6 linked regions of the Oryctolagus cuniculus genome follow. The protein of the gene in region 2 purifies or fractionates together with the protein of the main gene of each other region. This does not show direct contact. Links are inferred from orthologs where the notes say so. Each region holds a gene or a part of one and is shown on either strand. Other genes may lie near its edges. The genes, in order: DYRK2, DCAF1, CEP78, CUL4B, COPS5 and COPS7A.

Region 1 (5,439 bases), on a different chromosome or scaffold from region 2:
TAGAACTGAGTCCAAAAAGACTGGAATTTTAGCTCCTCCTCAAACATACTGACAGTCTGTGTGGCCCTGAGTCAAATGTCTACTTTTTCTTCTTCAAAACACTACTATTTTTTAAATGTGAATAGTCATTCTTTAATTCCAATTTTTTAATAAAGGTGAATCTGGTAATGGGAGACTGCTTCAAACACTCCAACAGTATGAAAGTGATGCATATCAACACTTTGGAATTTTGAAAACAAATATATTAACATCTTCCAGGTAACACTAAAAGAAAAAAAATTGATAGAAATAAACATAGTTACACTTTGAGGACAAATGGGAATATTTTTAGGACAAAGAAATACACTATAATTAAGACATGCATGAAGATAGAAAATAAAGGGACATGGACTAAATAAATTTTGAAGTTCATAGTCTGCATAATTACATATTGACCTGCCCACTACATCATTTATAAGAGAAGGCATGGGCAAGCTCCAGCGACCAGGTCATTTTTCTCTCCTTAATGCCCCTGTCCCCCAGTCATTCCACAGCAACTCCTCCCAGGCCTAACTGCTCTGGAACTAAAAACTAAAAAACTTACAGAAACCTGAAAGACATAGGGGAATACGGATCTGCAAAGGCTCTTCACTTGTAATGAAGTTAATACAATCTCCTAGGATTACCAGTGTGGGACAGTATGTCAAAACCACACTCGGGAGGGTGTGGGGTTTATTGATAGGAATTAACTAGAGAATCCTGACCAAACCAGTTAACATGTCTGTTTCTTCCTCTGCAAATCAAAGGAGCAGAACGTGATAAACTCTATATTCCTTTAACTCTCCTGTTCTAGGAAATCTGCGATGTTACACAAATAAAATCCAAACTCAACGACCAACCACATTCACAGTTCTGAAAGCATGTACCTAATCAGCAGCAACATAATGTCTGAAACAGGCCAGTCCTCAGAAGCACATACACAGGGCGTCTTGGCTGCAGCAGTACTGGCTGCTCCTCCAGGGGAGACTCTGCCTTCCCTACATTCACTACACATTTCAATTGTAAAGAGGCTCTGATGGCACAAAGTGCACCCTGACAAAATTGGAATCCAGTTGTAAACTAAGTACTTTTTTTCCAGTTCACATCACGTCATGTGAGTATATCAACACACAGGGGGGAAAAAAAAAACCCTAGATGTTACATTTGCCAAATTGCCAGATGATTCCAAACCAAACAAACAAAAAACCCAAACCCCTAAAACCAATGGCAGATTCTAAAACATCAGTGTGATAAGAACATTTAACAAATACAGAATCATCCATCCTCCCAACAAGACTCTCCCTGACATCAACAATCCAACACTGATTAGGCAACTGCTGTGTTGTCAGAAGGGAGGTAAATAACAAAGCAGCTTCCTAGCTCTAACAGGTGCAAACTGCACCCTAGATTGCCTCTCTGATTCTCTGATAAACAGGTTTCCCCAGAACCCACCATCCCCAGAGCTGCTCCCCTTTGCTAGAACTCAACTTTTCACTTGGCAAACAAAATCGCACCCCTCATGCAGAACCATTTTAGGTGGTTCCGCTTGGAAGCTGCAAAACCTCTGAACCCTGAGATCACCTCCTGGGAGCTGGCAGTCTCCATCCGAGGGCTCTCGCTGGGAGCAAAGCGAAAGCACATGCTGGAGTCCAGGGCAGCTTGCCCACCATGGTGGCCGCTGGTCCCACGCCGGGCCAGGCTGGGCCGGCCCCTCCCTCCTGGGGCTCCGAGGGCACACAGCACCTGTCAGGTGCCCTGGTCTTCCCACCTCCGGAGCAAGGCTGGCCCCATAATGCCCAACTGCAGGATCCTGCCGGGGTGGCTGGTTTTGTTTTGACTGCTGCTGTGGCGCTTATTTTTGTTAATGTTAATTACAATTTCTGCTGTGCTCAAACCTGTAGCACTCATAAAACATGCTTACACACGCGGGGGGACAATTGGTGGGGCTCCCTGCTGGCTGCAGCCGGGCCTGGGAGGCTCTTGGGGGGATCGATTTTCCTAGCAGGACAGCCTGACTGTCCCCTAACACATATCTGTTTCTATAAATAGCCACGACCCACGGGAGGGTGTGTTGGGGGGGGGCAGGACAGATGTTTACCGGGTCAGGGCGTGGAGCTCTGAGAAGCAAGGACAGAAAAAATAAGGAAGGGAGAAGGAGAGCGACAATGAGGAAGGCAAGCTTGGGGGTGGGCGAGCTCTGCGGGGGGAAGTGTGGGGGCCCACGCCACGAATCTTCCTTTTGTAGCTGCAGTTTGGGGCTCGCCCAAGTCACCGGGGCCGCACGCACTTCGACCTTCCCTCGGAGGCGTCCGAGCCCCGGAAGCCCGGGCGCTTGTGCCCCGAGGGAACCCTCCAGGCCGCCCCCCACCCGTGGCCGCCCGCGGGCGGGGTCTCACCGTGTGGGCCGTGGCGGCCGCGTTGCTGGCCCGGAGAGGCGGCAGGGCGATGGGGGAGGGCGGGCCGGTCCCCACTCCGCTCCGGGGGGCCCCCGCGCCGAGCCCGGGGGAAGCCTGAAGCTGACGAACGGCGCTGTCCCCTCCTCGGCCTGGGAGCCACGCACGGGAGGAGACAAAAGAGGGTCAGGGGCGGAAAAAAGTCATCCGAACCCCGACCTCCCCCACCGCCCCTCCGGGCAGAACACCCCTCCTTCCAGTGGCAGACACCCGCCGGGGCCCCGGCTCCCCAGCGCGCCCCCACGGGCGGGGCGCCACAGCGGCAAAGTTAAGTCGGGCACCGGCGCGCGAGTTCGCGAGCCGGGCCGGGGATTCGCGGCCCGCGCTGCGGACGGCCGGGGCCGAGGAGGGCGCAGCGGCCTCTCCGAGCTCACAGCGCGGGTGGGGGACGGCCCCGGCGCACCCCGCCCGGGCCCCCAGCGCGCCGCCGCCCGGCGGGGGCCGAGGGCTCCCGCGAAGGAGCCTGCGGGCCGCGTGCAACAATGCGCGGAGCCGGGCGAGGCGAGGCGAGGGCGCGCCGGCCGCCAGCCCGCTGCCCGCTCCCCACCGCACACTTCGCTCCAGGTCCCGCGGCGGTGGCCGCACGAGCTCCGGGGCTGGCCTGGGGCTGACGGGGGCGGCGCGGGGGGCCCAGCCCTCCTTACCGGTCGGGTAGGCGGCGGGAGCGGCGGCCGAAGGTTTCCTGGTTAACATGGCCGCTGGAGAGGAAAATGCATCTCAGGGCTGCCGTCTCCGCCGCCGCCGGTCCCGCTGCTACTTCTCGCGGCGGCCGCCGCCTCCCGGTCGCCCCTCGGGCGGGTCCCCGGCGCCGCCTGGCCGCCTCGCGTCAGCTACAGCCAGACACACACAGCCGGCTGCATCCCCTCGGCCCGGGCCCGCAGCCGGGAGCCCCCCGCTCTCCTCCTCGCCGCCGCCGCCGTCCTCCTCTTCCTCGGGCGGCCGCAGCACCCCCCGGCCCGTGCTCATGCCTCGCCCTCCCCTGCGCGCCGCGGGCCTCCCCGATTCCCTCACATAGGGGCGCGGGGAGCGGGCAGCGCCGCGCCGACCGCCTAGCTCCAGAGCCTCCTCCTGGCTCGCGCGCGCGCGCGCCCCCGCGCACTCTCGCCCAGGCGCCCGCGCCCGCGCGCGCCCCGGGAGGGCAGCCCCGCCCCCGCCGCAGGCCCCGCCCCCGGCTGCCCCCGGCCCAGTCCCGCACCCTGCCGTGCTCCCCACCCCCACGCGGCCGCCCGGGCGCCTGCACAGCCGGGATCGGCTCCGGGCACAGCTCGGCCACGTCCGCCTCCCGCCATCGGCCCCTTGCCCCTCGCTCCCGCACCGACGCCTGGCCCCCTCCCCGGCTGCCCTAGCCCTTGCCGGGCCCCGCCTTTGCCCTGAGCGCAGCCTACCCCCGCATCCTCCCCCACCCACCGACCTCGCTGCAGAGACCCCTCCCCTTCCCCGCGCGCCCCCAAACACGGCCGCATTTTCTGCTTGGCGGACCTAATGGCTGCTCGCGAACAATACTGTCTCCCCCGCAGCGCGCCCGGGGACTTAACGACCCGCGTCCCCCGGTTCATCACGTGGACAACTTAGTTGTGCGCGGGTCACCGCGGATGGCCGAGCCCCGCGGCGGGGCCGCCTTGAGCCCGGGAACCCCCAGCTCGGGCAAAGGGGGCTGCCCTCCCGCCGCCACCTCCACCTCCACCACACTCTCCCTCCCCGCTTTACTGACACCGAGTGACCGCTCTCCAGTCGCTAGGACAAGGGGGAGGCAGAGAGGCGCGCGTGGACGGCAGCCGGGGAAGCAGTTGGCTGTGGGTTGCTAGGCAAAAATCAACACCAGAGACGCCTCCCATTTCCTTGCAACTCCAGCCTTCCCTCTGCGGCCGCTGGGAGAGACACACCTTCCTTTCAGCGCCTTGCCTCTCTGCTCGCATCCTCGCAGACCAAGCTCTCCCGCCGGCTTCCAAGGCACGTGCAGAATGTGTCTGCCCTTGCATTGTGCCGTCTGCGGCCTCCCTTTCCCTGGTGGACTGAAAACGTGCTCGCCCGCCTCGGACCCGTGCCCCCGTCCTGGGTGGCGCGCTGTGCGCCTTTGTCCAAAGGTCACCAAGTTTTGCCACTTCACCGGTCTGGGAGGAGGTTGGGGCAGAACCGGACAAATCCCGGATGAGGGCAGAAAGTCGCCCTGAACTTCCTTCCTGAGAGATGCCAGGTGTCTGAGGTTCTGCCGGGGACATGGGTGCTTTCTGCTCTGCCCAGCCCCATCTCCGGCCCTGGCTGGACCTAGCAGGCAAAGCCCAGGGGGAGGGAGCCACCTCCTGCGGAGTGCCTCGCCTCTCCTGTTGGCAATTGTCACAGCAACCTCCCACAGAGCTCACCCTCAGCTTCACATAGATACCAGGATCCGAGAGTGACAAGGTAACAGCTTGACCCTCTCCTACAGAGGTCTTGCTTCAGGGTTGGAGCCCTGGCAGAGGGAATCCGGATTTGGCCGATAATACGTCCCCCTCCTCCAAAAAAAAAAAAAAAAAAAAAAAATCCTCTTGAAGCTTCCTCCTAATTAAGGTGAGCCACAGTTAAATAGTCAATGCAGTACTGTACCTTTAGAAGAATCATGACTTGAACTGGCCTACCAAAAAAGTTCCCCATGCATGTTCTCAGAGAATAACACTTTCAAATCCAACTGGGAGAAACATTTTAAGAGTACAAAATTAGCCAAAAGTAAAGTGCTACCAAGTAGCAGAGATCAAGCCTGAACTCATCTCGGACTGCCAGTCTGATTGCAGCTTTCTATTGTACTACTTTGTACCTTCACCAAAGTCCACAGTTCTTTTCCTTCCTCCCCCTTTCATTTGTTCATTTTTCATTGTATTTGAAAGGTAGAGAGACAGAGAAACAGACAGATAAACGATCTTGTTGCATCTGCTGGTTCACTTCCAAAATGCCCAGCTCTCTGGCATGGTGGCAGGGACCTGGCCACTGGAGG
Region 2 (4,880 bases):
GTCTCTTCAAAAGTCAGTGCCATGAGAACTGGAGAAAGGGTTCTTGGCTTTTAAAACATTAAACATAATAACCAAATGCAATATGTGAATCTTGGCTGGATCCTAGTTCAGGAAAAAAAAAAAAAACATATATGAAATCAAACACATCAAGAACACCTGGAAAAACTGGGCATGGACTGGATATTAGATGATATTTGAGAACTACTCTAATTTTCTTAATTTGGATATGTGACTATGTAATTAAATAGTTTTATTGTTAGAAGATACATGTTCAGGGACCGGCGCTGTGGCATAGCGGGTAAGACCGCCGCCTACAGTGCTGGCAACCCATATGGGCACCAGTTCAAATCCCGGCTGCTCCACTTCTGATCCAGGTCTCTGATATGGCCTGGGAAAGCAGTGGAAGAAAGCCCAAGTGCTTGGGCCCCTGCACACGCATGGGTGACCTGGAAGAAGCTCCTAGCTCTTGGCTTTGGATCGGTCCAGCTCCAGCTGTTGCAGCCATTTGGGGAATGAACCAGCAGATGGAAAGCTTCTCTCTCTGTCTTTGCCTCTCTGTAACTCTGCCTTTCAAATAAATAAAAATATTAAAAAAAAAGATGATGCATGTTCTGTAATGATGCTTGTAACTCACTTTCAAATTGAGAAAAACACATTCATAGAGAAAGTATGGAAAAATATTAAAGTGATGAATCTAGGTAGTGAACACATGTACCATTCTTTCCATATGATTTTAGTATGTTGTAACATTTTCAAATGAAAAGTTGAGGGAAATCCTCCCTTTACCATGCTAAATTCTCCCCTCAAGCTATTTATTACTCTACTTCTCTGCTTTGTATCCCAACAAAATAATTTAAAGGAACTAACTATACTCAGTGTGTCTATTTCACTCCTCCTATGAAACCACTCTAACCAAGATTTTGTCTGATCAGTGTACAGCCTATATTTTAAAGATTTATGTACTTATTTGAAAGGCAGAGCAAGAGAGACAAAGGGGGAGAGAATGATCTTCTATCCGTTGGTTTACTGCCCCAATGGCCACAACAGCCAGGTCTGGGCCAAGCTGAAGCCAGAACTCCACCCTGGTCTAATGAGTGACAGGGGTCCCAATATTTGGGCCATCACTGCTGCCTTCCCAGGCATATTAGTAGGAAGCTAAATGGGAAGCAGAGCAGCTAGGAGTTGAACTGCTACTCTGATATGGGATGCTGGCCTCCCAAGAAGCAGCCGAACCCACCGTACCACAGCCCAGGCCCCAGAACTATTATGTATAACTAAATATAGTTGTAACTATATAATAACCTCTATGTTGTTCAACGCTCCCACTCAGTTCTCATTCTTATATTCAACTCATCAGCAATTTCTGACTCAACTGATCAATCATTCCTCCAAACGCAGTCTTCCCTCGGCTTTTAGGTCTTTTTCCTGGGGTTTCCTTTTGACTTTCTGGTCACTCTCTCTGGTCTCCTCCCTAAGATCCTCCTTATTTGGCAACTTCTAAACACTGGCACATGCAAGTGCTGTCCCTACACCTCTCCTCTAGCCCCCTTAATCTCATCCAGGTTCACAGCTATAAATATTGATATAAGCACTACTCTCCTAATTTTAACCCCCATCCCAGACTTCTCAACTCCCCATCTGTACATTCAATTCCCAGTTAATGTCTAATAGAATCTCAAACTTCACATATCCAAAACCTCAGGACTACGGCCCATCATTTTTCAAGGCCTCTGCATGTCTGTCTGGATCATGCCCCATTATTCATGATACAATATCCTCCTGCCTGGAAGGTCTACTTTTGCTTCTCTCACAGAAACAAATCATGCTTTAGGTTTTCATATCCAGTCATATATCTTCTGCCACCCTCCAGTTGTCTTCACCTTCCTCAGAAGAAAAGCTAAAGGTCCCAACTACCTCCTCCACGATGCTACGGGATATGTACCCATCACTGACCTTAGCTCTTACCCTCTTCTGCCTCACAGCTCCCAAACAAGGCTGTTTCCTGGCTACTCCCTCTGCCTTAGAATGACACCTGCACGACAGTCACAAGTCCTTCAAGGGCTCTGCTTAAACAGTATCCAATCAGTGAAGCTAACAAAACAGTCCCTGACCACACTATCAAGCATTTCTTCCCTCTTACACTGCTTCTTTCTTTTCCTCTGCAGCAACCAACCATCTAACATGAGCCCAAAAATGCAGGGATTTTATCTCACCTAAAACTTGGTAAGAACTCAAAGATATCTGCTGTGCTAACAGCATCTTCCTCAAGCTGCAAGATTAAGTTCAGAGTCAATTATTTCATTTTTCCTATATAACTTAAAACTACTTTAATACACTTCTAGAGTTTAACTGGAAGGACTATCACTATAATTTCTAGATACCCACTAAGTCCTCACATTCAGTCCAGAATATTTCTGAATTAACAAATGAGCAAAGTGAGCGTGAAAGCAGAGGTTTCTCCAGCACTTACGTGGGCAATGTCTCCCTTCGTGCCTATGACTCGATCCTGAGAGTGCTTACTGAACTCAACATAGTGGTCTTCTGTGAAGGAATGCCTACGGACAAAAGCACTGAGAGGTCAAGATGTTCAAGACAGACTCCTGCACACACTGCAGCCTCTTAATGCCTTGGCTCCCACAGAGGAAACGCCTGTACAGTGAGATTAAAAACATTCCCTCCAGCAGTGTGTCTAAGCATACCCTGACAGGGATTCCTTGGTTGGAAAAATGACCATAGGGCACATGTGCCTTTGAAATACGAAAGATTAGAATGTAAATGGCCCATGTGAACTTGGCAAAGTATAAAGATGGCCATTTGGAGTTAAGTGAAGGATCTGCTGCCCAAATGGGCAAGCATATACTTTCCAGGAGCATCTAGAAATTAAAAGATAAAATTTTATTAAAACATAAGCCTAAAATGAAGAAGTTAACAATAACTTACAGCATCCTACTTCCCAAAAGGCCTCTAGTCCAACAAATAGATGGAGTATAAATTATATAAACAAAACACAGGAACACCAGACTACAAAAGCAGATACATACTTCATATCAAATACTGATTTCATTCCCCAAAGTGCAGACAAAGGCTGGCTCCAAGTAGCAGATGTCAGCAGCAAGGACCCGTCCTGAAAGAAGGAGGCCCAAGGAGGGTAAACGTGGGTTTATATACATGTAGATGTTGCTATCTACCATTAGTATTTTTAAAATATTTACATAAAAGCATTACTGGATTAAAGAGAAAAAGAACAACTTTCAGGAGCCAAGAAATAATCAGAAGTCACTAAGATTTAAATACATGTACCTGCAGTGTACTAGAAAATAAATTTAACAGCACATTAAATCCTTCTGAGCTCGTAACAAAAATATAATGGCTCCAAAGAAAAGAGGAAGAAAACTTGGAAAGACATCAAAGATAACCGGTTCTCTTGATACGGCACACTCCTCAGTTTCCCTTGGAGTCCAGTCGATTTCACCTAGACTTTAGAGGTAAGGATTCCTCACAAGAAACTCCAATAAAAGAGGAGTTCACCAACCCATCTTAGAAACGAGAGCATCCAGGAGGAAGGGACCCTCACCCTAGAAGGTTCAAGGTGTGTGATAGCCGAGTTGTGACAGTTGTAACTGGCCTCCTCCTGTCCACTAAACACATTATAGAGCTTCAGCTGCCCTGTGCAGGTGCCAAGCATCAGGAACCTCTCCCGTGCTGAGAACGCACAGCAGGTGAAGCCACTCTCATCTTCATTGGCTTCCCGGAACACTGAAATAGGACGGAATCTAAGCAAAACAAAAGAGAATCAGAGACATAGAATGTGCAGGGACTCAAAAAGAAAACTTGCTAGAAGGACTTAGGTTTGAATAGGTGTGAAATAAGTTCTTTAAAATATCACACTAACCTTCACTGGTTCATTTTCAATTTTAAATGAGAGAAAAGGACCTCCACTTACAAATTTAAATAACAAAAATTCCCACATTTAGGGGCCAGCACAGTGGATAAAGTCACCGCCTCCAGTGCCAGCATCCCATATAGATGCTGGTTCAAGTCCCAGCTGCTCCATTGCCAATCCAGCTCTCTGCTGCGGCCTGGGAAAGCAGAAGATGGCCCAACTCCTTGGGCCTCTGCACCTGCATGAGAGACCTGGAAGAAGCTCCTGGCTCTAGATCAGCCCAGCTCCAACTGGGGCCATTTGAGAAGTGAACCAATGGATAGAAGAACTCTCACTACCTCTGCCTCTCTGTAACTCTTTCAAATAAATAAATAAATCTTAAAAAAAAAAAAAAATCCCACGTTTAAAACTGTGATCCCTTTCCATGAGACTTTTAAGGAATCACAATGTTCAAGGAGGCATCTGATGCAGCTGGTAACATGCTGTTCAGGATGCTCACATTCCGTATCAGAATGCCTGGCTGAAGTCCTGACTTTGATTCCAATTCAACTTCTTTCTACAGATCGCTGCCCCAACAAGTGAGATCAAGATTGAGCTCCTGGCTCCTGACTTCGGTCTGGCCCAGCCCCCGCTGTTGCAGGCATTTGAGGACTAAACCAATAGATGGATCTGTTTCTGTCTGCTTTTCAAATAAAAAGAAAATTAGTATTTTAAAAAATTCACATCAGAAGGCATTTTGGACCAGCACAAAACGAGCTAAGATCCTGGTTAGGGAGCATGGGCTCTCCAGTGGTAACACATTATTCAAGTATTGCCACTAATGACATAAGGACTCTGGTAAACAAAAGGTGACACACACTGCTTATGTACTGATGTGACAAGGAATGGCATTTCAGACCAGGAAATGGCTGACTGGACTAATCACTCTATGCAGACATCACCCCAATACTCTGATTTAAATAATTTAAATAATTCCAATTCCCAGGATGGGAGAGGG
Region 3 (5,549 bases), on a different chromosome or scaffold from region 2:
GTAAAGCCACCCCTGTGGTGCCAGCATCCCATATGGGTGCTGGTTCCAGTCCCAGCTGCTCCACTTCTGATCCAACTCTCTGCTATGGCCTGGGAAAGCAGTGGAAGATGACCCAAGCACTTGGGCCCCTGCACTCATGTGGAAGACCCAGAGGAAGCTCCTGGCTCCTGACTTCAGATTGGTTCAGCTCCAGCTGTTACAGCCATTTGGGGAGTGAACCAGAGGATGTAAGATTTCTGTCTCTGCTTCTCTCTAACTCTGCCTTTCAAATAAATTAATTAATCAAAAAAATGTTAAAGAACACAGAAAATCAAATTAAGTTTATTTAAAAAAAGTTTAAAATATCTTTCAGGCCACATCTTCTGAATCCTCCTTTTGGGTAACCTATATTCTCCCATGCCTTCACACACCTGTCCCCCACAAAGCCCAAATCCATGTTGGGCCCAGCCTGCCTGGTAGACACATTTAGATGTCCTACAGGCCCTTCTTAAAACATTAAAGATAACCAAGATCCTCTCCCTACCCCTTATCCCCTCCTGCCATGCAGGGTCCAGTGGAAGGAAGTTGCGTACACTGTCACCCAAGCCTGCTGCCCTCCCTCTTCTCACTGCTTGCCGGGCCCCACTCATTCTCCAGCAGGTGAAATCCAGCCCTTCTGCCCTGTGCCTTCCTTTGGGCCACTAGCTTACCCTCTTTGCAACTTTAACCTGCCTTCTCTACGGAGGCCAGAGTGAGCTCCTAAGTCACAAGTCCACCTTGTCCTTCTGTGCTTCCCCACCATCGTCAGGATCAACTGAACTCCTTGATTGATGGGACAAGCAAGACTCACACGTTGCCAGTCTCGGCTCTTCCCCAAACCCTAAATTCCAATCTTGTACCCCAGCCTGCGTATTCTCCGCTATTTTTGAGAGGTCTGCCCAGACTACTCCTTCCTGTCCACCTGGCTACCTTCTACACAGTCTTCCAAAGGACAGCACCTCCTCTGGGAGGCCTTCCCTGAACCTCCCTCTCAGTTCTGTGTTCTAAGCCACAGACTCCCTTTTCTCCCACAGCACTGATGCACAATGCTAGGGGTAGGGAACTTTTTTCTGCCAAGAGCCAGTGGATATTTATTCACGGTCTTACAAAATTATCACCTTAAAATTAGCCTGCTATAGATTTACAGGATTTTAAGGCCCTCCCAGGAGGACCAGACCAAATGACCTTGTAGGCCTTATGCAAACGGGACATTCCCCACCCCTGTTCTACCTGCTTCCAGCCCTGGTAGAAGGGACGATGCTTTAGGACAGGGTACTCCAGCAGTACTCGGTGCAGACTGAGCTCATTCTACTGCCAGGACACTTTACACACATGATCTGCTTTAACCCTAAGAACTCACTCAGAAGGTTGTCTTAATGCCATTTTACAAGTGTGGGAACCACAGTTTACAAAATAACTTGCCTTGGGGCACGTAGAAGGGTTTGCCTTTAGAATTCAAACTCTAGGCTGCTTCTAACCCTCATATGGTTTCCACTATAGGATGCTATTCCTTAAAAATCTTTAACAAAAATCTGTCATTATTAAAAAGAGATGAAGAATCAGGTGGGAACACACAAGGGAACTTGAAAAGCTGGTGGAAAATTCAGAGTACCTTTTCATTCCATTTTCCCACAGACTTGGCAAAGCCCCCTTGCACATGTCAGGTGAGTCAGATTTCGTCCCACTCTATATTGTTCCTGAATGACCATGAAAGTTCCAAACATTGATTATGCAGTTACAGATCAATTTAACCATGGTGAAGTTGCAAATACAGAATCTGCAAATAATGAAGATGTTCAAAAAAATCCCTGGTTGGCAGGAGATAGAATGTTTTTTTGTTTCACTGTATATTTTTTCTTTTTTTTTTTTTCATTTTCAACTTGTCTGCTTTTCTGCATTAAGCCTGTTATTAAAGGAGGAGAGACAATTCTACACTTTCCTTGTCGAAAAGGGAAGAGGAACAGCCTAGCCAGAGATGAGGACTGCAGGGAGCAGAGCCAGTAGTCCTCACTGGTTGATAACAAAGGCAGCCACAAAGAGTCTACACACTCCAAAATTCCACAATTCTCCCAGCCAACTGCCTGCAGGGTGCATCGGAGCTAACGTCTCAAGTCCACACCAAACATCCCCTCCCGATAGCTTAGGCTGGATTCACACGCTTTCACCCTCCCCAGATATCTCCAACAACATCTCAACGTATGCTTAGACGCTGACTAATGAGAAGTTGTGATCCTCTTCCAGTTCAATGCAGCAAATATGACTTGAGCTCTATCAGGTACAAAATGCCATCCTAAGTGCTAGAATGAGTAACATTTTGTCACATGTCATGATTTATTTCATATGTTTTGCTAATAACCAAAGGGTCTGGATGCCTAATTATATAGTCTTACATTCGTAAATGCTTTGCATGTGTACAGCACTTTACAAAATGCTTATATAAACGTTTTAAACATGAAGAAAAAGGCTGGGATGTATTGACACCCTAATCGCTTAATTCTACATCAAGCCAATAAAAGCCATTCAATAAAATAGGCAACGTCAGTCGGACATTCAATGCCATCCCAAACTCAGCTAAGCGCTTCACACCCATTAACACGGGGAATCCTTGCAATCACCATGTAACACGGGTTCTGTGATTAAGGCCATGCCACGGATGAGAACGCCGAGAGCGAGAGACCTAAAATGAATCGCCGAGTCACCCGGGCGCACACCCAGTCTGCTGCACACCTTACCCGGGCAATGGGCACCTGCACTAGGGCCCAGGCTCCACCGTGTATCCAAAAAAAAAAAAAAAAAAAAAAAGGAAACCCGACGTCGCAGCACTGGAAGCGGGAATTACAAACCTGTTTCCCCAAGCCACGGCTGGAAGAAGCTCTTGATGGAAATCAAGGGCAAATCTTTATTGATCTTGAGGGTGCTCAGGAGCGGCGCCCAGTCCACCATGCGGAGGCGGTCAGCGTTGAAGTCCAGCACGCCCTCCCGGAGGCAGGAGCGCACGGCGGGCAGCGGCACCGAGTCCTGCAGCGCGCACAGGTACTCGTAGTGCGAGAAGAAATCCGCCGCGCTGTCGCGCCGCAGCTTCACCGAGTCAATCATGGCCAGACCGCGGCCACCGGGGACGCCAGCCGAGCACGCTACACCCACACCCACCGAGAAGCCTCGCTCGCCGCCCGGCTCCCCGGCTCCCCACGGCCCCGAGGCTCTGCAACAAGACACAGGCTCAGCGCCCCAGGCTAGGGCAACCCCTCGACGCCGTACTCCCGCGTCGCCTCCCGCCCCGCGGCCCCGGCCGTTGGCTCCCTCCTCATCCCTCGGTTACGCGGGGCTTCGGTTCAAGCCCTCTGGCGGGCACCAGAGAGGGCGGTGCGCGCAGACGTCAGCACGCTCGCTGTGCGTCGGCACGCAGACCACGCCTTTCGGAGGGCGGAGCCTTGGGCAGGGAGGCTGGCGGAGCCCCCGGGGTGGTGGCTCTTGGGATATGGGGTTTGCTTAACAAAGGGTTGCCTAATGGATTGATTTCTGGGCGGGCGTTTGGCCCAACGGTTCAGCCACTCGTTAAGATGCCCGCATCCGATATTGTAGTGCGAGATTCTGCTCCTGGTTTAGCTGCCGATTCCAGCGTCCTGCAGATGCACAGCCTCCGAGTTCTTGGCTCCCTGACGCACTCGTGGGGGACCCGGATGGAGCTCCCCGCTCTTGGCCCAGCCCCGACTGCTGCGGGCATCTGGGTAGTGAGCCAGCAGGTGGGCGCTCAACTCTTTCTCTCTGCCTCTCAAATAAAATTTTTAAAGTGAACTGTGTATGTGGCAACGCCATTTTAAGGACTCCGTCTAAACTTGTGACGAATGTGCGCGGTGCCCAGGACCGAGATGACACTCCATAAGGGATGGCTGAAGGACTGATGGGACCTCTGAGTGTTTCCTAGCTATTACTGTCTACGAATAATTCCTAATCTCTATAGTTCCTACTTACACGGTTGTTGGCAAATTATTTCATGAATCAGGGATTATATTGGGTTTCTATGAATCTGTTTTGTCTTGATGATGATAATGATGGCTAATTCCCTGAGGACTTGCACTCTCTATGTCTTAGACGTTATTTAAGCACGGTGTAAGTATGTTTAAGAAGTCATTTTCCTGACATGTTCACAAGAGATACACTATTTTATGTCTGCTCTACAAAACAGGAAACAGGCACAGAGCAGTGATGTTAATACAGCTCAGTTAGTGAAGAACCTGATAATTGACCTCAGAGCTTGTATTTGGATCCAGTCTCTAAAACAATGATAGCCCTCTGCTCTGTGGTTCTGTGTATAGCTTTCTGTCCCACCACTGCATTCAGGATACCCAACTTACTGCCAAGTCTCTCCCCCCCATCTCCCTCTCTCTCCCTCTCTCCCTCTCCCCTCTCTCCCTCTCTCCTCTCCCCCCCCCCCCTCTCTCTCCCTCCTGAAATTCTCTAGGTGTGGTCAGCAATGACTTTCCATGCAGCAGTCTGGAATAATAATGTAGTGGTACTGGAATACCCACGAATCAGCTATGTCACCTTATCATTCCTGTTGAAGATCTCAGACCAGTGTAACCATCATACCACTCACAACTACATCCTAACTGACACTGAGGAAACCATTTTTTTGAATTTGTAGTCATCATTGCAATATCTCAGTTGCATATGTAAATAAACAGCATAGGACACTGTACTAGGTTTTCTGATACTTAATTTACTGTTGCTTTTGCTAGGTTCATCCATGTTGACATATAAAGCTATAGTTCATTTCTTTTCCCTGTTGTATAGGATTCCCTTCTAGGAACTTACAATTTATCTATTTTTTCCAATTTTCAGTATGATCTCTTTGTTGTACATCCAGCATCACTTAATGTGATTGTCCTTTACTCTTGGGCTTCTCTTGCTCACCCATTTCTAAATACTGTGGCAACTGACAAGTGCAGCTGCTCAGGGAAGCCTTTATCATACCAATTAATCTTTTAACATGTTCATTTAAAATTGACTTTTCTTAAGCTTACTTATTGTCAGTGTGGCAAGATTCCTTTCAAGGCTTGTCTAATAATTTCTTCTCTACTTCAATGTAATTATGACTTCTTAGTAGCATCAGTTCCCCTTTCAGCATCTAGGGGGTTCACCCACGTGCTTCCATGAACACTGGCAGTGAGAGTGGACCCTGCACAGGATCTCTGGGATCCTGACAATGTAGGCTCACATGTGGCCCAACACGAAATGCTGGGGAGTAACATGCTACTGGGGAGTAACATGCTACTGGGAAGTACAAGGGATGGGCTCTTCACCTTCAGGGAGTCTAATGAGGGCATATTGGACAAGAATACAGTTAAATGATACCATTTTACCTCTTACTCTCAGTACTCTACTCCTGGTCCTTCCTAATAACGTGATATCCAGACTTCCCAGCCAACTCACTTTTCCATTGAACCACAGTGGTAATGCTCTCTTCTCAATTCTAACATTGATCCTCTCTGCCTGTTTCCAGAGCAGGTGGATCCAATTACAGAGAATGT
Region 4 (3,610 bases), on a different chromosome or scaffold from region 2:
AAGAGTTTTCTGCACATCATACTAAATAACATGCAAAGAGTTCAACAGCATTCTTCTTAAAGTAAGTATTACTCTTAAAAATGGGCATGTTAACCACTGAAAAAAATGTTCACTCAACTATTTCCATTACACCGCTTCGTTTGGTCATTGGTAATAAAAAACAGAGTCAGATAATATAGGATCAACAGGTTAGTTTATCACTGGCTACTGCATAGGACCCCAAGTGTGCCAAGGTCAACATCTATGCAATATAGTTGTACTGGTTTGGATTTTCTTTATCTCTTTCCATGTAGTCCCGGTCAATTAAGGATTCTATTCTCTTCTTAAGATCAGCAGGCTGTTAAGAGAAGGCAAATTTTCAATGCAAAGTTTATGATCATTGGCTCAAACTCACTTACTAACATGCCCCATCAAAAAAAGAAAATTTTGGTTTATTGACTTAATATATGTAATCTTACCTGTTCATATTATTTAAATCTCTATTTTAGAGAAAAATATAATAAAAATCAGGTTAAGAAGTATTTTATACATATACTACAATGCTACACTTTTGCAACATTTTCTATTTTATTTTAAAGAAATCTTCCCAGAACCAGCTACTCCCTGCACAGTTAAATACAAAAGACTAAACATAACAGAATTTCACATGAGGAATACATTATAGCTTGAGAAATCAGAAATTTAGTTTTGCTGAGATAGTTTGAGAGGACAATCCACTTTTACTTTGGGCAAAAGCTAATTCTGCAAGTTAAGTTTAATTTTTATAAATTAACTTAAAATATGGGGGCCAGTGTTATGGTATGAGTTAAGCCACCATCAGCATCATATATGAGCACCAGTTTGAGGCAGCTGCAGCCATTTGGGGAGCGAATCAATGGATGGAAGATCTCTGAATCTCTCTGTAACTCTTTCAAATAAATAAAAATAAATCTTGACAGTTTGCCTTCATGACTGTATTCTTAGCTCTCAGATGACAAAATTCAACTATATGCTTGAGTGTATGTCTAGACTATAAAAAGTACAGGCATCCTTTGGTATCTGCAGGCATTGCTTCTAGGATCCTCCCTTGCCCTCATGCCAAAATCCAAGGATGCTCAAGCCCCTTATACAAAATGGTGTAATATATGCATATAACCCATGTACATCCTTCCATATACTTTAGAATCAACTCTAAATTACTTATTATATCTATTACAGTATAAATCCTAAGTAAATAACTGCTATTTTGCATTTTTTAGGGAATAATGACAAGAAATAAAGTCTGTACGTGTTCAGTACAGCCCCACTGCTTTCAAATATTTTTTTATTTATAGTTGGTTGAATATGCACATGTGAAATCCACAGATATGGAGGGGTCAACTGTATCATCTTGCCTACTAAATTTTTCATAATATGTAAAATGAAAGGGAAAGGAATCTGATAGGGCAGTCAAAACTTTAGTCATAATTTTTATCCAGTAATCTTAAAGTTCAATAAAATGATTTTCTCTTCATTATAATAAAAGACCTAGAATACCAGAACAGTCTTTTTAGGAAAGCAATCCCTTAACTTCCCTAGCATCAGTGATCTCTATGGCTAGAGGTGCAGTAATTGTTAGGCAGAGCATGAGGGTGACAGAGCTGTAATGAGGTGACAGTATCAGGCTTGGAAGAGAGAAAAAAAACCTCTTAATTAAAATAGCTACTGAGGGCTGATTATATGCTAGGTCCAGTTCTGAATTTTTCATATTCAGGATCTCATGAAAACCTCATAATTATATAAAGTAAGTACTACTATTAGCAACATTTTACAAAAGAGGAAACAAGCTCAGGTGAAGTGATATATCAAAGTCCAAAGTTTATAGAAATCCTAATAGCCAGGAGTCTATTAAAACTCTTATCAAGAGTTTATCAACACAAGGGTTTGGAAATATTCTGGAACTTACACAATATTCCAATACAATATCACCCTATATGTCTTCATTACTGGGCAGTTACCTTGGAATATGTCCATTAACCAACCAATTTCAGTTGACCAGAACTATCATTAAAATTTTCAAAACGATACCAGTCTGTACACAGTTCAGACACTTAATGTAACCTAACCAACAGATTTGACTCTATCTAAAATAATGACATCTGGCAAATATCAAGGTATTTCAAGGAGAAAAGAAATAAGAAAGAAGTTCAAATGAAAATAGTGAATGAAAAAAGTTTAAACAACTCATTTAGCAGTTAAACTTACAAGTTTGAGAGTTTTACTAAATTGTTGTCCCCTTTTTTCACAGTTGCCCCTATGCCAACAATTTTTTTCCTGAATCATATGCATCAGCATGGGAAATACTTTTGTTTCACCAAATGCTCTTGAGGCTTTCATCTATGCTTACAGGATTTGTGCCTGAAAATTTAATGTATCCTTTTATAAGAAGCTCAATATGAAAACACAGAATACCTACCTTTACTGGGAATTTCAATTGGTTGTACACTTCTGAAACAAGCAAATTGTGACTAAGTGTCTTTCTCATCTTCATAATTCGAACAATTGCAGCATCAATTTGATATTGTCTGTCTTGAAATACTCTTTCTGTAGTACTTGCTTGTTCCTCAACCTAACAAGAGGGTTTTAAATTTAAGAATTATACCTGAAGTGAAACATGATTACTTATACAAATTTGTACATTTTAGTGACATACCACTCACTGCTTTAAATATACTGAATTATCTAAATGGGACCTTACAGATGATGACAGAAAAAACCCTGCAAACATAGCTCCTTTCTAATTATATTGCCCTGTATCAATGAAGTAATGCCAACATTACTTAGCAGAAAATACTATCTTTGAACTACTTTTCTGGAAGTAAGGATGTTTGAGACAGAATTTACCATTTTCTTTGACTCTCTTCTAAATATGTCAGTTACAAGGGGTTGTTGACCAGATTTCTGTATAACAGTATCTCATCTATAAACTGACTGACTTCTGTCTCAAATCATGGTATTAAGTAGCTAAGTAAACTGGTTGGCATCAAGTTCTTTGACAATTAACTTTTATTTTGTAATATATAAACCAGAAATGCATGCCATTAATGCTTACATTCCTTTAAGACTAACAGAGATTTAAGTGTTTAGCAGTTTATCACACTTGATGCAAAATTAAAAATGACAACCTTTAGTAACTGAACCAAAAGTTTAGATTTTGTTGCAGCAGTTTCTTTCTAGTACAGCTTAATTTTTTTCATTTAAATTCAATCTAGGTCTCCCACATGGGTGGCAGGGACCTAACTCCCTGAGCCATCACCTGCTGCCTTCCACAGTGTGCATTAATAGGACACTGGAATCAGGAGCCAGGACCCAAACCCAGACACTCCCATATGGACTGTAGGTGTTCCAAGAAATGTTAACCACTGCACCAAATGCCAACTCCATAGCATAAATGTCTTAAAAAGTAAGGTTATGATAATCCTTTAAGGGAGTATCATTCCTCTGATGCCTATGTAAATGTAACAGGAACTTTTTTGAAGATACTTATCCTTGTCCCACATTAAAATTGTTTCTCAAATATTGCATTACACATTGTTGGAACTGAATAACTGGTTTCAGAATGCTACACTTGGTTTCCTTAATAAAAATCTCT
Region 5 (5,401 bases), on a different chromosome or scaffold from region 2:
CTTACCTACCTAACAGATGTTCTTAAAATACATGTAGGTGGACACACACACACACACACACACACACTAGTACAACGCACAGTGTTTTACACTTTGCTTTTTCATTCAATAAACTATTCTGGATCATGCTCCAGATAAGTAAATATATATAGGTAGCTATCTTTTATTTTTTAACAGCTGCCTGGCAGTCCTCTAATGACTGTACCATAATTTATTTAACTGGTTTTATACTCAGAAACACTTAGCTTGTTCCCAAACTTCTCATTTTAAGCACAAATCTGATAATGAGTGTGAACCTTGGGAAATTAAAAAGCCCATGGTCTTACAAGGCTTATGATCCCATATATTTTACACACATATCCAATTTAAAATAGAAAATTTAACCTTGAGAGGATAGCCTTAACTTCAGAATCTCAAAAGTTACCTTGAGACTCTAACACAGTTTAATAAACAAGATTTTTTTTTGTTACCACAGTTTAATAAACAAGATTTTTACCTGTTTGGCGTTTTCTATGTATGCAGCCATGTACTCATATGCTGCAGCTTGAGCATTTACTCGGGTTTCAGTGCCCTCTACAGGCAAAGCAAAACTGTCCATAATGATCATGGTTTCACCGTCCACCTTTCCTAGCATCAAGCCCATCACCTCCAAGTTGCCTCCTGATCTGGCATGCATCACCATTTTCAGTAGAGCCAATGCTGAGATTTTGCAGTACTTAAAGTAATGATGACTACAAAATAAAATCACAATGTAATTATATTTCTTATTTGAAATAAAATATCCAAAGACTTTTTTTTTTAAAATAAGTTACTGAGAGAATTTAAATTGATATAAGGGCTGTGTAGAATGTGGGAAGTAGTAGTAAAGGACAGATGACCTGCATGGGTATGGAAATAACAAACATGTCATACTCCTGCAAAATATTCCCCCCTGGGGAAAGGAAGGGTCTGAAACAGTCCTCTCTCTCTTTTAACATGCTATTCAAATGTGGAAGTAGCAATGAGTTCAAGAGACTTTTCCTCTGTTGATTTGCAATGATCAAATATCTGATTCTAATACTGGATGGATGGCTGTGTTTAACTATTCTTAGGCCTAACCTTTTGGTCTAATGGTTAAAAGAATGTGGGCTCTGACATCTATCTGCCTATGTTTGACTCTTGCACTGCCATTCCTTAGCTGTGACATTAGGACAACCTCTTAATGTCTGCGTGTCTCACATTACATTGCTTAGGGTAAGCGGGACTAGTTCAGAGTCATTAGGATGAAATAAAATGAATGAAATAATAAAGTGCCTAGCTTTAGTGTCTGATCCAAAGTAAAACCTTAATAATGCTATCTGTTTTTAGCATTATTAATTTCTGTTACAGTATTCTCAGTACTCTGAAACAACAATATTTTGAAAGATGTGGCTTTCCTCTGTAATATCAGCCTCAAAATTAAAAAGTGTCTCTAATATCCTTAGCTGTCCCATGATCACTGTTCTTGAATTTGTCAGTGGTGGCTGTGAGTCAACTTTTAAGTAAAACTATATTTTGGTCTGACTGATGCAGCCCAAGACAGCTAGGAGGGATATAATTAGAACTACTGTGAGACAGTGTAACAAAGTGATGGCTTCCAAATATCTAACAGAGGAGGTCAACCTAAAATGTACAGCTGCTATAGAAGTCGACAACCAGGCAACCTAACCAGCCTGTACGCTGTACAGAGTGGTTAGTTGGTGTTTCTGAGCTAAATGTTTGCCCAGAGAAAAGCACAGAAACTTAATTCCCAACCTTTGCCAGATTTCACAAGCTGAAAAACACAGAGGCTTGGTGTTGGAAGTTAAGATACAAATTAAAATTGTGTTCTAACGGGAAAAGAAAAAAGATAACTGTTATTGTGCTCCTATTACATTGCCTCAATGTGATCATGAGGTATTTGCTTGTTTCCTTACTTGAAAAAACGAATGAAAGTACAGTACTGGGTTGTCATGATGATTAAAATGACAAATGCAGATCCCTAACTCAGTGTTTGGCCCATGTTGAGTTATCAGTAAACACTGCTGCACCTAACTGACAGTTAAAGCTAGGCTTGTAAAAGACGGTGTGGCAGGAAGTATGTCCTGGGCTTGCCACAGCTCTCCTTTGTATCTATTAAACAGTTTTCTTTTACTCTCTTTTTACTCTTTCCCCAACAAAAGTCTTCTTTTGGTAAAGGATAAATGTTATGGATTAATAATCCTTGACTTGTCATCACTCCCAGGGATGCATGAATTTTGCTAAGGGGTAAGAGCCTTAAGGTCTATTTTTTAATCTCAGACTTAGGTGACACTGGTGGAGTAATATTTTAGAAATTGGTTAGAGGCTGACTGTGCCTCTGAAATAATTACCAGCAATCAAAGAACTACTACAGATCTCTAAAAAGATGGCTCACAGCTATCTGCAAGACAGGTGAGCTGCTGACTCAATTTCTGAAAAGAGCTGCGGTTCCCGTCAGGGACCAGCTGAAGGCCCCAACAAGGTGTAGTCCACACAGGGTTCAAAGCAGATACTGGCAGATATAATAATCAGGATGTTGAAAAGTGATAACCTAAATCTCTGCTTGCTGTTCATCCCTTACATCCTCCAGAGGCAAAAGAGTTAACAGACAGAACGGGCAAAGCAGGCCGCAGCGGAGGAGCATACACTACACGTGCGGGGATGAAGGTAGATCAAATTCTGTTTCAGGTGCATAATCTCTCCTGGACCATGAAAAGCCAAGCCGTCCACCCACTCCAATTCCCACTCCCCCACCCTCGGGTCTCTCAAACTCTAACCACCCCGTCCCTCCCCTGCGAGTCTCCAGGGACCTCCTCACTCCTTAGTCCAGGGCTTCGCCGCCAGGATTTCTTGCTGCTGTTTTTTGTCGTATTTGTAGATTTCATCGATGCTCTGGGCTTCCTGCATGTTGTTGGCCAATTCCCAGGTTTTCTGGGCCATACCGCTCCCGGACGCCGCCATCGCCGAGGAATCAGAGAAGCTTTCGCTTCTACGGCCGAGACGCAACTTTACTTTTCTAGCTCCCTGGGTGTGGGTTTTGGACCCTTCCCACCACAGGTGCAAACTCTTCCTAGACTCTCGAGGCAGCCATGACACCTAGAACCGGAGGTGAAGTTGGTACGGACCATTCGGGGATGGAGGGGGCTGTTAGGAGAAGCGACGATAAATCGGTAGTTAGTGTAACAGCTGTGGCAAGGGGAATATTAATGTGGGTTAAATGAGAACATATCGTCTTGGAAAACTGTATCTATGAAATAGGGCAAACACAATCATTTGCCATGGGAATGGTATAGCCTTTCACAACGGAAGAAGGGCACGTTAACGTTATGCCAGAAACTGCCGTGGCCTCTTAGTTAGTACTGCGCAGGCGCATTTTCCGCCATATTAAATGTGGGCGGAGCTGCAAGTTGGGCAGAGGAAAGTGTTTTCGTGTGGGTGTAGCTGTCTTAGATGGAAAGTTTCTTGAAAGACTAGGAAAAAAATAAAAAGGATGTCTGGAGAAATTTAAATGTAAGTACTGGATTTTGGCTGCGAGGAAGATAAATATGGCATCCTGTTTTGCTTCCAAGTGACCCAGTACACATGCGTAGAACTGCGGGCTCGTGGATTTCAGGTGGGCGTTTTCTAGCGCTCGCGGGAGGCGGCAAAAGCGAGTGAATTGTTACGGTTTTATCCTGTGACGTAGACGTTTCATGTCCCTACATTTATTATGAGCTGTTAGTGATGCAAATGTCCAATACTCAGTTCTCATGAGTTAAGTCTGCAGCGCTTAATAGCCTGGACGGAGTTAATCTCAGCAACCTTTTTGTTGCCTCCCGTTGATACTATGTTTGTTTCCTGTGTTTGGTTTACGTGTTTTTCCCTCTCTTCTCCGTCCGCACTAGATTCTGCGTTTAAAGACGCAGGGACCAGTTCTGTGCTCTTTGTTTTATTTCTAACACCTGGGTGTTAGGGATAAAGATCTTTTTGCTGGAAAAAAAGAAAACATCGCAGCTCTTCATAACCTAGTCCCTACGCACCTCTCCAGTTCCATCTCTCTTCAGTTCCCCCTTGAAACCTTTCTTTCCAGTAGTGCCATTCCCCACACTTGGACTTAGCACAACAGTACTCGGATGTGGTCAGCGTTGCTTGATTAACACGCGCTTCCCTGGCTTTTCTGCCTGCGAGCTCATATTAATCTGAAAGCACAGTTCTGAGGTCTGTCTTCACTCTCCAGGACCATTTCTTCCACGGTGTCTCCAAGTCTGTAAGACAGGTACTTCTTAACTCGCATTGTGTTGTAATTATGTACGAGTATCGGTTTACATGGAGGTTTCTTTTTTTCAGAGTTCAGGATACCTCGCACTGCCTTGAATCCTCCACTCCTAGTAGGGTGCGTGGCAGATCGATAGAACAAATAGAAAATTAGGGTTATGGAATCCACACCACAGTCTGCGGTTTTGACATTTTCAGCTTAAAATTTGCCTTTAAAGTCGACTTGCAAAGTAAGGATAAATTAGGGCCCCTAGGAGACATTAGCATTCTTAGTTTCTTGCGAAGTCAAAAAATCTTTTTCAGTGGGAGCATTTGATTACTTAGTATTGGTGTGAATTGAATTACACGTTGAAAATGGTATTGAAAGCCCGGGACTTGCGCTGACCAGACTCCTGGCTTAGGAGAGTGTGCCATTGGTATTCTTCTTACTGCCTCTACCTTCCCGGACCTCAGACTCAGGCTGTCCTCGGATCGACCGCGGAGTGGTGGGTTGGAAAGCAGGAATTAATTCAACCTGGGAAGCGACTCCCAAGGTTTAACAAAACCCTGGGCGCAGGTGGGTGGCTGTGCGTCCTCCGGGAAGGCAGGGGGCGCCCTCGGTCGCGCGGTCCTCTTAAGCGGCCGCTCCGGAGGCGGGGCTGCGCCTGGCCGTTGGCGAGAGGCGGGCAGAGGGCCCAGCTTGAGAGGCGGAGTCCCGGCCGGCTTGACTGTGACAGTGTTCGCGCGCCAGGAGGCCGCGGCCACCTCTGGGAACCGCTAAGAACCTTAGTAGGACGCTGTGCGTCTCCCAAGACGCGAGCCTGCTGGTCTGAGTCAGCTGACCGCAGGTGGGGAGCAGGCACGGCAGGGTGAGGCCTAGGGTGAGGTGGAGGTGAGGGTGTCCGGGCTGGATTCGCGGACCTGGGGCGAGGGGCTGGCGGCGACCCGGCCGGCAGCGGTGCCCGAGTTACAGGGGCCGGGCGGTGAGGGGGTTTTTGCCGGGCGAGGGGCTCGTCTCGGGCCTGCGGAGCGGGACGGGGGAGGCAGGTAGGTAGTCGAGCTGGCGGCGGTAAGGAGGTTACATGGGTTGGAGGTGAGGGTTCCCTGCCAGCGGGGTCTCGCGGCAGCCGGTCCGGGGCGGTGGCTGGGG
Region 6 (4,840 bases), on a different chromosome or scaffold from region 2:
GAACCAAATTTCCTGGTCAAAAACTGTGCCTTCACTACTTTCCAAATAACCTGCTGACTCTCCTCCATTCTTGATAGCCAAGAGCTTGTTCTTTGTAAATCAAATTGCATTTGCATGGCCCTGGCAATGAGAACGACTCCTCTCCCTCTCTGGGTATAAAGCCAAACAGTCAGAGGCCAGCCTCTAGTGAGGCCTTCAGAGCCATGCACTGGAGTCTGGAACCAGGGGTCTAGAGAGTTACGGGGCCTTCAGCTGGGGGCAGCTCACAGGAAAAGGGGACGATAGGCGCAGGTTGAAAGTACCAGGAACTCACAATTCCTACACTTGAGTGGGAGAGGAAGACGGGGTTGATTTCAGAGGCAGACGCTGAGAACCAATGCAAAACAGGTTCAAACCCGATTCAAAACAGCTTGTCTAGGGCAAAGTTGAGAAGCCAAGTGTGCTGAAATGAGGCTCACTGCACAGGTCCCGTTAGGTCTTCATTCCCCTCACAGGACAGGAAGTCTGGGGTGGGAGTTGTATTGAACGGCTGCACGGGATGCTCACATCCCATAATCAGAGTGCTTGAATCCAGTCCTGGCTACTCTGTGCTTCCAAAACAGCCTCCTGTTGAGGCACCTGAGAGGCAGCCGACGATGGCCCAGTACGTGGGTCCCTAGCACCCCTGTGGGAGACCTGGATGGAGTTCTGGGCTCCTGGCTTTGTCGTGGCGCTGTCATGGCTATTGAGGGCATCTGGGGAGCAGACTAACAAATGGAGATCAAGCTCCCTCTCTAGCTCTGCTTGTCAAGTAGGTGACAATAAACATAAAACACAAGAAAAAACCCACTAAGCTCACCCAGTCTACTTTTAATCAAAACCTCAAGACCCCACTCCTACTGGCTGGCTCCACGACTGACAGCTGCAGGGCCGGTGTGGAGTGGTCTCTCTTCAGCCTCCACCTAGACAACCAGCACCAGCTCTGCAGAGAGGGCTCCCTGCCGCCTCCGCCACAGCCTCCCGGTTCCGAGGCGTTCACGGCAGCACTCTGGGCCAGGCTAGCAGACTTCCTGCGAAGTCCTAACTTGGAAGAAGGGCAGGAGCCCAACTGCGTGCTCCTGCCAGATACGATGGCTGTGACTGTGATGTGAAATCCAAGTTCGTCATCAATCTTCCCCTGAGGATTCTCTTATGATGCAGGAGGCAGGGAGCATGACCGGCACACGTGGGTGCTCAGGAAGGAGCGCTCATGTATGAAGCAGTCTGTCCAAAGCCACAGGGCACCAGGACTCGGGATTTAGAATCTGGTTCTCATCATTTTCCAGCCCTTTTTTAGAGTAGACTGGGAATGAGTCTTCTTCCCATCCACAAATATCAAACACAGAAGATACCCAGTGCAGGACATGTGTGTAGATAGACTTCTCATAGATTTATTTCTGTGTCATGTTATATATAGATATATGCATATACACCTTTTTAAATACAATCTATATGCCCTCCCTTCCCCACCAAAGTCACAACAGGGGACATAAAGCCTTGCAGGACTGCCACCAGGCTTCCCAAGATGGTCAGGGCCCACAGAACCATCTCTCAGCATCCTAATAACAGCTGCCCTCCTTGGGCTCTGGGGTTACTGAAGCTGCAGCACTCCCAGGATCCAAGGGGAAGAAGGAGGAGAGGAGACAACCGTAGTGTGAGAGAATTCTAGGATGAAAGTGTCCAGTCATTCAGAATGGCAAGCCGGCTCCCAAACTCTCAGGGTGGGCATAAAGGTAAGGGCCCATGGCCCTTGAGATGCCACCCATAGGTGGGGGTAGGGAGTGATGGGGGGGACAGGCATGCAGCAACATGGCAGGAGAAGGAACACCTGTGGGTTATGCTGGAGACAGAGCAAGCCCCGTCAGAGCTAGCCCCTTACCTGGCGACAGATGTAAGGAACAGGATAGATGTCGAGCTCTTAAAGAAACAGAGCACGATGGGGAAGGGGGCAATGCAACACATTAGAAAGTCACATAAAACAAAAGTACCAATAAAAATGTGACCTGTACTTGCCTCCTCCCCAGAGAAGGTGTGATCTGCTTGGGGGTGGGGGTGGGGGTGAAAGGTCATGAACTGAGGATTATCAGCTGGCCAGGGGCACAGGAAAGCTCTCTGAGAACTCCTAAGGGCAGGCAGGCAGCTGGGACCCACAGTCCCAAGGAAGAAATGACAGTCCCTTCAGTTCGACTTGGACCAAATCTTGGCACTCCCTCGGAGCCTGGCAAGGGGAAGAGAAAGAGAATGGGTGCAGGGACTCCCTACCCCCAAAGCCTCCCCCAACTCCCTATCCCCATGCAAAGGATGAAAGGAGAGGATGTAAGAGCAGCTGGGGCCCCGAGCTGAGTGGAGTGCCCCAGGGCAAGAGCTCCGCTGCCCGGCTCACCCTTTGCCCTTTGAGGCCTTCTTGCTGGGCTGGCGCTGGTTGGTGCCTGCGGCAGGTTCTCTCAGCTCAGTCAGGTGTTGCTCAGGGTCCTGAGATGTGGCTGCAGCCGCTGCCGCAGTGGTAACTTTAATGGTTTTCTTAAGGTTGGCAACCTACCAGGATGAAAGCCATAGGGGGGAGCAAAGAAGTTTCCGGAACATGATAGACTCTGCCCATCTGACCTGTCTGCTACAGCCATGGTCCAAACGCCTCTGCACAGGACAAGTGGCCCAGGCTGGGGCAGTGTGGGTGAGCCCTGCTCACCTCACTCTCAATCTGCTGCTTCAGGCCCAGCTGCTGCTCCTTGTGCTGGTTGGCCCGGCTCACTTGCTCCTCAATGCCTGACAGCACAACCTCACAGCCCACACACCTGCAGGGTGGGACGAGGAGACGCGTCAGCACAGAGGGCTGCGAGCACACTCATGACAGACAGACTCCAAAAGACCCGTAGCTCCCAGCATCTAACCCCTGTCCGAGCTGGGCCTTGGCAACCACCTACAGCAGTCCCCCCAGTGAGACAGACCCTCAGGTGGGACAGGAGAGTGGCAGGGAAGTGCCGCAAGTGCTGGGCAAGTCGGAGGAGAAGCGGAAAACCAAAGGGGTGGGGGATGAATGAGGACGGACAGTGAGGTTAGACAGGAGCAAAGCAGAGGCCTGTGGCCAACGGCGGTCACAAACCAATGAGTTGAATCCAGCCTAGACAGGTGACTGACGTGGGTAGCATCCCCGCTCCCTCCCCATGCACTTTACCAAGGATACTGCCTCCTGCCTCCCTGGGCCGCCTCCATCCCTGCCTCAGATGCCTTTGGAGGGATGGCTCACTTTGCTTCAGCCTCCTGGGTCGCAGCCCAGCCCAGCCCCTGCTCTCTCCTGCCCTGAAGTACCTCTCCCTTTCTTGGGGTGAGGAGGGGAGGGACAGTGCCGCCCTCGGCTCTCACCACTCCTGCAGGGTTCGGGCGATGGCGCTGAGGTCCTGGCGCTGGATGTCTCGCCCGATGCTGTAGTCCACCTCCAGCCGCTGATTGCGCTGGTCCAGGGAGCCGCGGAGCACATCCGCGTACACGGCCTCGATCACCAGGTCCTCCAGCTGCCGCACGTTCCGCAGGGCCAGCGCCTCCAGCAACACTGCGTATGGGATGCACTGGGCCCGGGAGGCCAGGATTTGTGAGGAGCCGCAGCAGGAAGGGGTTTCCAGAAATCATCTTCCCTCCGCCCTGGCTCATCTGCCCTCCGCTCTGTTCCTATACCACTTCCTCTAGGGCAGAATAAGTAAATGTATTCCCACCTCAAGAAAACAGCATGAGAAGGCCAATCTTAAATAAAACACAAGACTTAAGCTCCCTTACCACCCTATTTCTCCAGACCAGAGCGAGCAAGCAAGCGACACCTGTCTGGGGTCATTCCTCTGGCCACAGCTCAGGAGCTCAGGCAGCCCTGCATCAAGATCACCCTGGCACGGTGGGAATATGCGGCAGGGGAGAAGTCTGACCTCTGCACAGGCATTGCACAATGCAGAGCTCGGTTTAAATCAAGTCAGGACAGTAACAAGACAGTCAAATAACAACTGGGAAACCTCAGCTTGGGGGGTGTGGCAGGAAACTGAGGCCAGCAGGAATACAGAGATCCTTCTGCGTTATATGCATGTCTTACTCCACCAAACAGAAGCCTGGCACCTTGTCAGAAGAGAGCCTATTCCAGCTGAGGCCGTGGGAACGGAAGTAATTGTACAACACATGCATGGCACCCTCGTTGCCACTTTCAGCAGCATACAAAAGATATTTACTTAGAACTTAAGGTGACTGAAAACTTACAAAGAGAAAACTAAGAGAAGGCTCAGCCTAAATGGCTCGGTGATGGACTCCAGACAGACCCTGAGGGGGGCAGGACGAGGCAAGTCTGGTCCTGGGACATCCTAGTGTCACCTCCCAGACACAGAGAAGGATGCCTAGACCTGGGAGACTGCCACTCACCTTGACTTTAGCAGCCAGCGTGACCACGGAGAGGTGTCGAAGCTTATTCTTCTGAGCCTCTGTGAGTGGGGGCAGGTTCCGGGCTTCAGCTGGGGAAGAGGACAAAGTGGAGGAAATCGACTGCAGTTTTGTGGGAAGCCTACACTTCCTTCACCCTTGTTTTTTGTTTTGTTCTGAGTTTTTCAATCTGATTCAGGTCTTGACCCTGAAACTGTGCACCCAGGGGACCTATGTGGGGTATCCCAGGAATTTTCTCTTAAAGTGCCTCCAAAAACCGCCCTTCTTCCACTCCCATCACTGCACAGCTCCAGCCCCCCTGGTTACCTAAGTAGTCAGCGTACGTCCCATAAGCAAACACGGTGAGCAGCCGGAACGTGGAAGCAAAGTCACTTTCGGCGAGCTGCAAGGTGAGGCAAGAGACGTGGTGATG

The links.
Region 1: the proteins of DCAF1 (region 2) and DYRK2 purify together in Homo sapiens (affinity purification with western blotting; 5 studies listed by BioGRID and IntAct, with this or other methods). This does not show direct contact. The link is inferred for Oryctolagus cuniculus from reciprocal best matches to the Homo sapiens genes DCAF1 and DYRK2.
Region 3: the proteins of DCAF1 (region 2) and CEP78 purify together in Homo sapiens (affinity purification with western blotting; 3 studies listed by BioGRID, with this or other methods). This does not show direct contact. The link is inferred for Oryctolagus cuniculus from reciprocal best matches to the Homo sapiens genes DCAF1 and CEP78.
Region 4: the proteins of DCAF1 (region 2) and CUL4B purify together in Homo sapiens (affinity purification with mass spectrometry; 9 studies listed by BioGRID and IntAct, with this or other methods). This does not show direct contact. The link is inferred for Oryctolagus cuniculus from reciprocal best matches to the Homo sapiens genes DCAF1 and CUL4B.
Region 5: the proteins of DCAF1 (region 2) and COPS5 purify together in Homo sapiens (affinity purification with mass spectrometry; 8 studies listed by BioGRID and IntAct, with this or other methods). This does not show direct contact. The link is inferred for Oryctolagus cuniculus from reciprocal best matches to the Homo sapiens genes DCAF1 and COPS5.
Region 6: the proteins of DCAF1 (region 2) and COPS7A purify together in Homo sapiens (affinity purification with mass spectrometry; 4 studies listed by BioGRID and IntAct, with this or other methods). This does not show direct contact. The link is inferred for Oryctolagus cuniculus from reciprocal best matches to the Homo sapiens genes DCAF1 and COPS7A.

What each region holds. Positions count from the first base shown.
Region 1 is NC_091442.1:70,019,683-70,025,121, reverse strand, and holds the start of DYRK2 (dual specificity tyrosine-phosphorylation-regulated kinase 2), read right to left. Parts: upstream 3,569-5,439; 5' UTR 3,165-3,568; coding exon 3,116-3,164; intron 2,564-3,115; coding exon 2,415-2,563; intron 1,985-2,414; exon of another isoform or gene 1,660-1,984; coding exon of another isoform or gene 1,600-1,659; intron 1-1,599. UniProt on the Homo sapiens protein: Serine/threonine-protein kinase involved in the regulation of the mitotic cell cycle, cell proliferation, apoptosis, organization of the cytoskeleton and neurite outgrowth. Functions in part via its role in ubiquitin-dependent proteasomal protein degradation.
Region 2 is NC_091441.1:98,128,967-98,133,846, reverse strand, and holds part of DCAF1 (DDB1- and CUL4-associated factor 1), read right to left. Parts: intron 3,774-4,880; coding exon 3,575-3,773; intron 3,125-3,574; coding exon 3,042-3,124; intron 2,556-3,041; coding exon 2,471-2,555; intron 1-2,470. UniProt on the Homo sapiens protein: Acts both as a substrate recognition component of E3 ubiquitin-protein ligase complexes and as an atypical serine/threonine-protein kinase, playing key roles in various processes such as cell cycle, telomerase regulation and histone modification.
Region 3 is NC_091432.1:152,040,045-152,045,593, forward strand, and holds the start of CEP78 (centrosomal protein of 78 kDa), read right to left. Parts: upstream 3,408-5,549; 5' UTR 3,115-3,407; coding exon 2,862-3,114; intron 1-2,861. UniProt on the Homo sapiens protein: Centriole wall protein that localizes to mature centrioles and regulates centriole and cilia biogenesis. Involved in centrosome duplication: required for efficient PLK4 centrosomal localization and PLK4-induced overduplication of centrioles.
Region 4 is NC_091453.1:98,256,255-98,259,864, forward strand, and holds part of CUL4B (cullin-4B), read right to left. Parts: intron 2,588-3,610; coding exon 2,435-2,587; intron 338-2,434; coding exon 242-337; 3' UTR 1-241.
Region 5 is NC_091437.1:92,680,949-92,686,349, forward strand, and holds the start of COPS5 (COP9 signalosome complex subunit 5), read right to left. Parts: upstream 3,345-5,401; 5' UTR 2,980-3,344; coding exon 2,837-2,979; exon of another isoform or gene 2,829-2,836; intron 732-2,828; coding exon 497-731; intron 1-496. UniProt on the Homo sapiens protein: Probable protease subunit of the COP9 signalosome complex (CSN), a complex involved in various cellular and developmental processes.
Region 6 is NC_091440.1:102,788,271-102,793,110, forward strand, and holds the end of COPS7A (COP9 signalosome complex subunit 7a), read right to left. Parts: intron 4,811-4,840; coding exon 4,735-4,810; intron 4,500-4,734; coding exon 4,411-4,499; intron 3,582-4,410; coding exon 3,379-3,581; intron 2,811-3,378; coding exon 2,705-2,810; intron 2,554-2,704; coding exon 2,402-2,553; intron 2,237-2,401; coding exon 2,197-2,236; 3' UTR 1,388-2,196; downstream 1-1,387.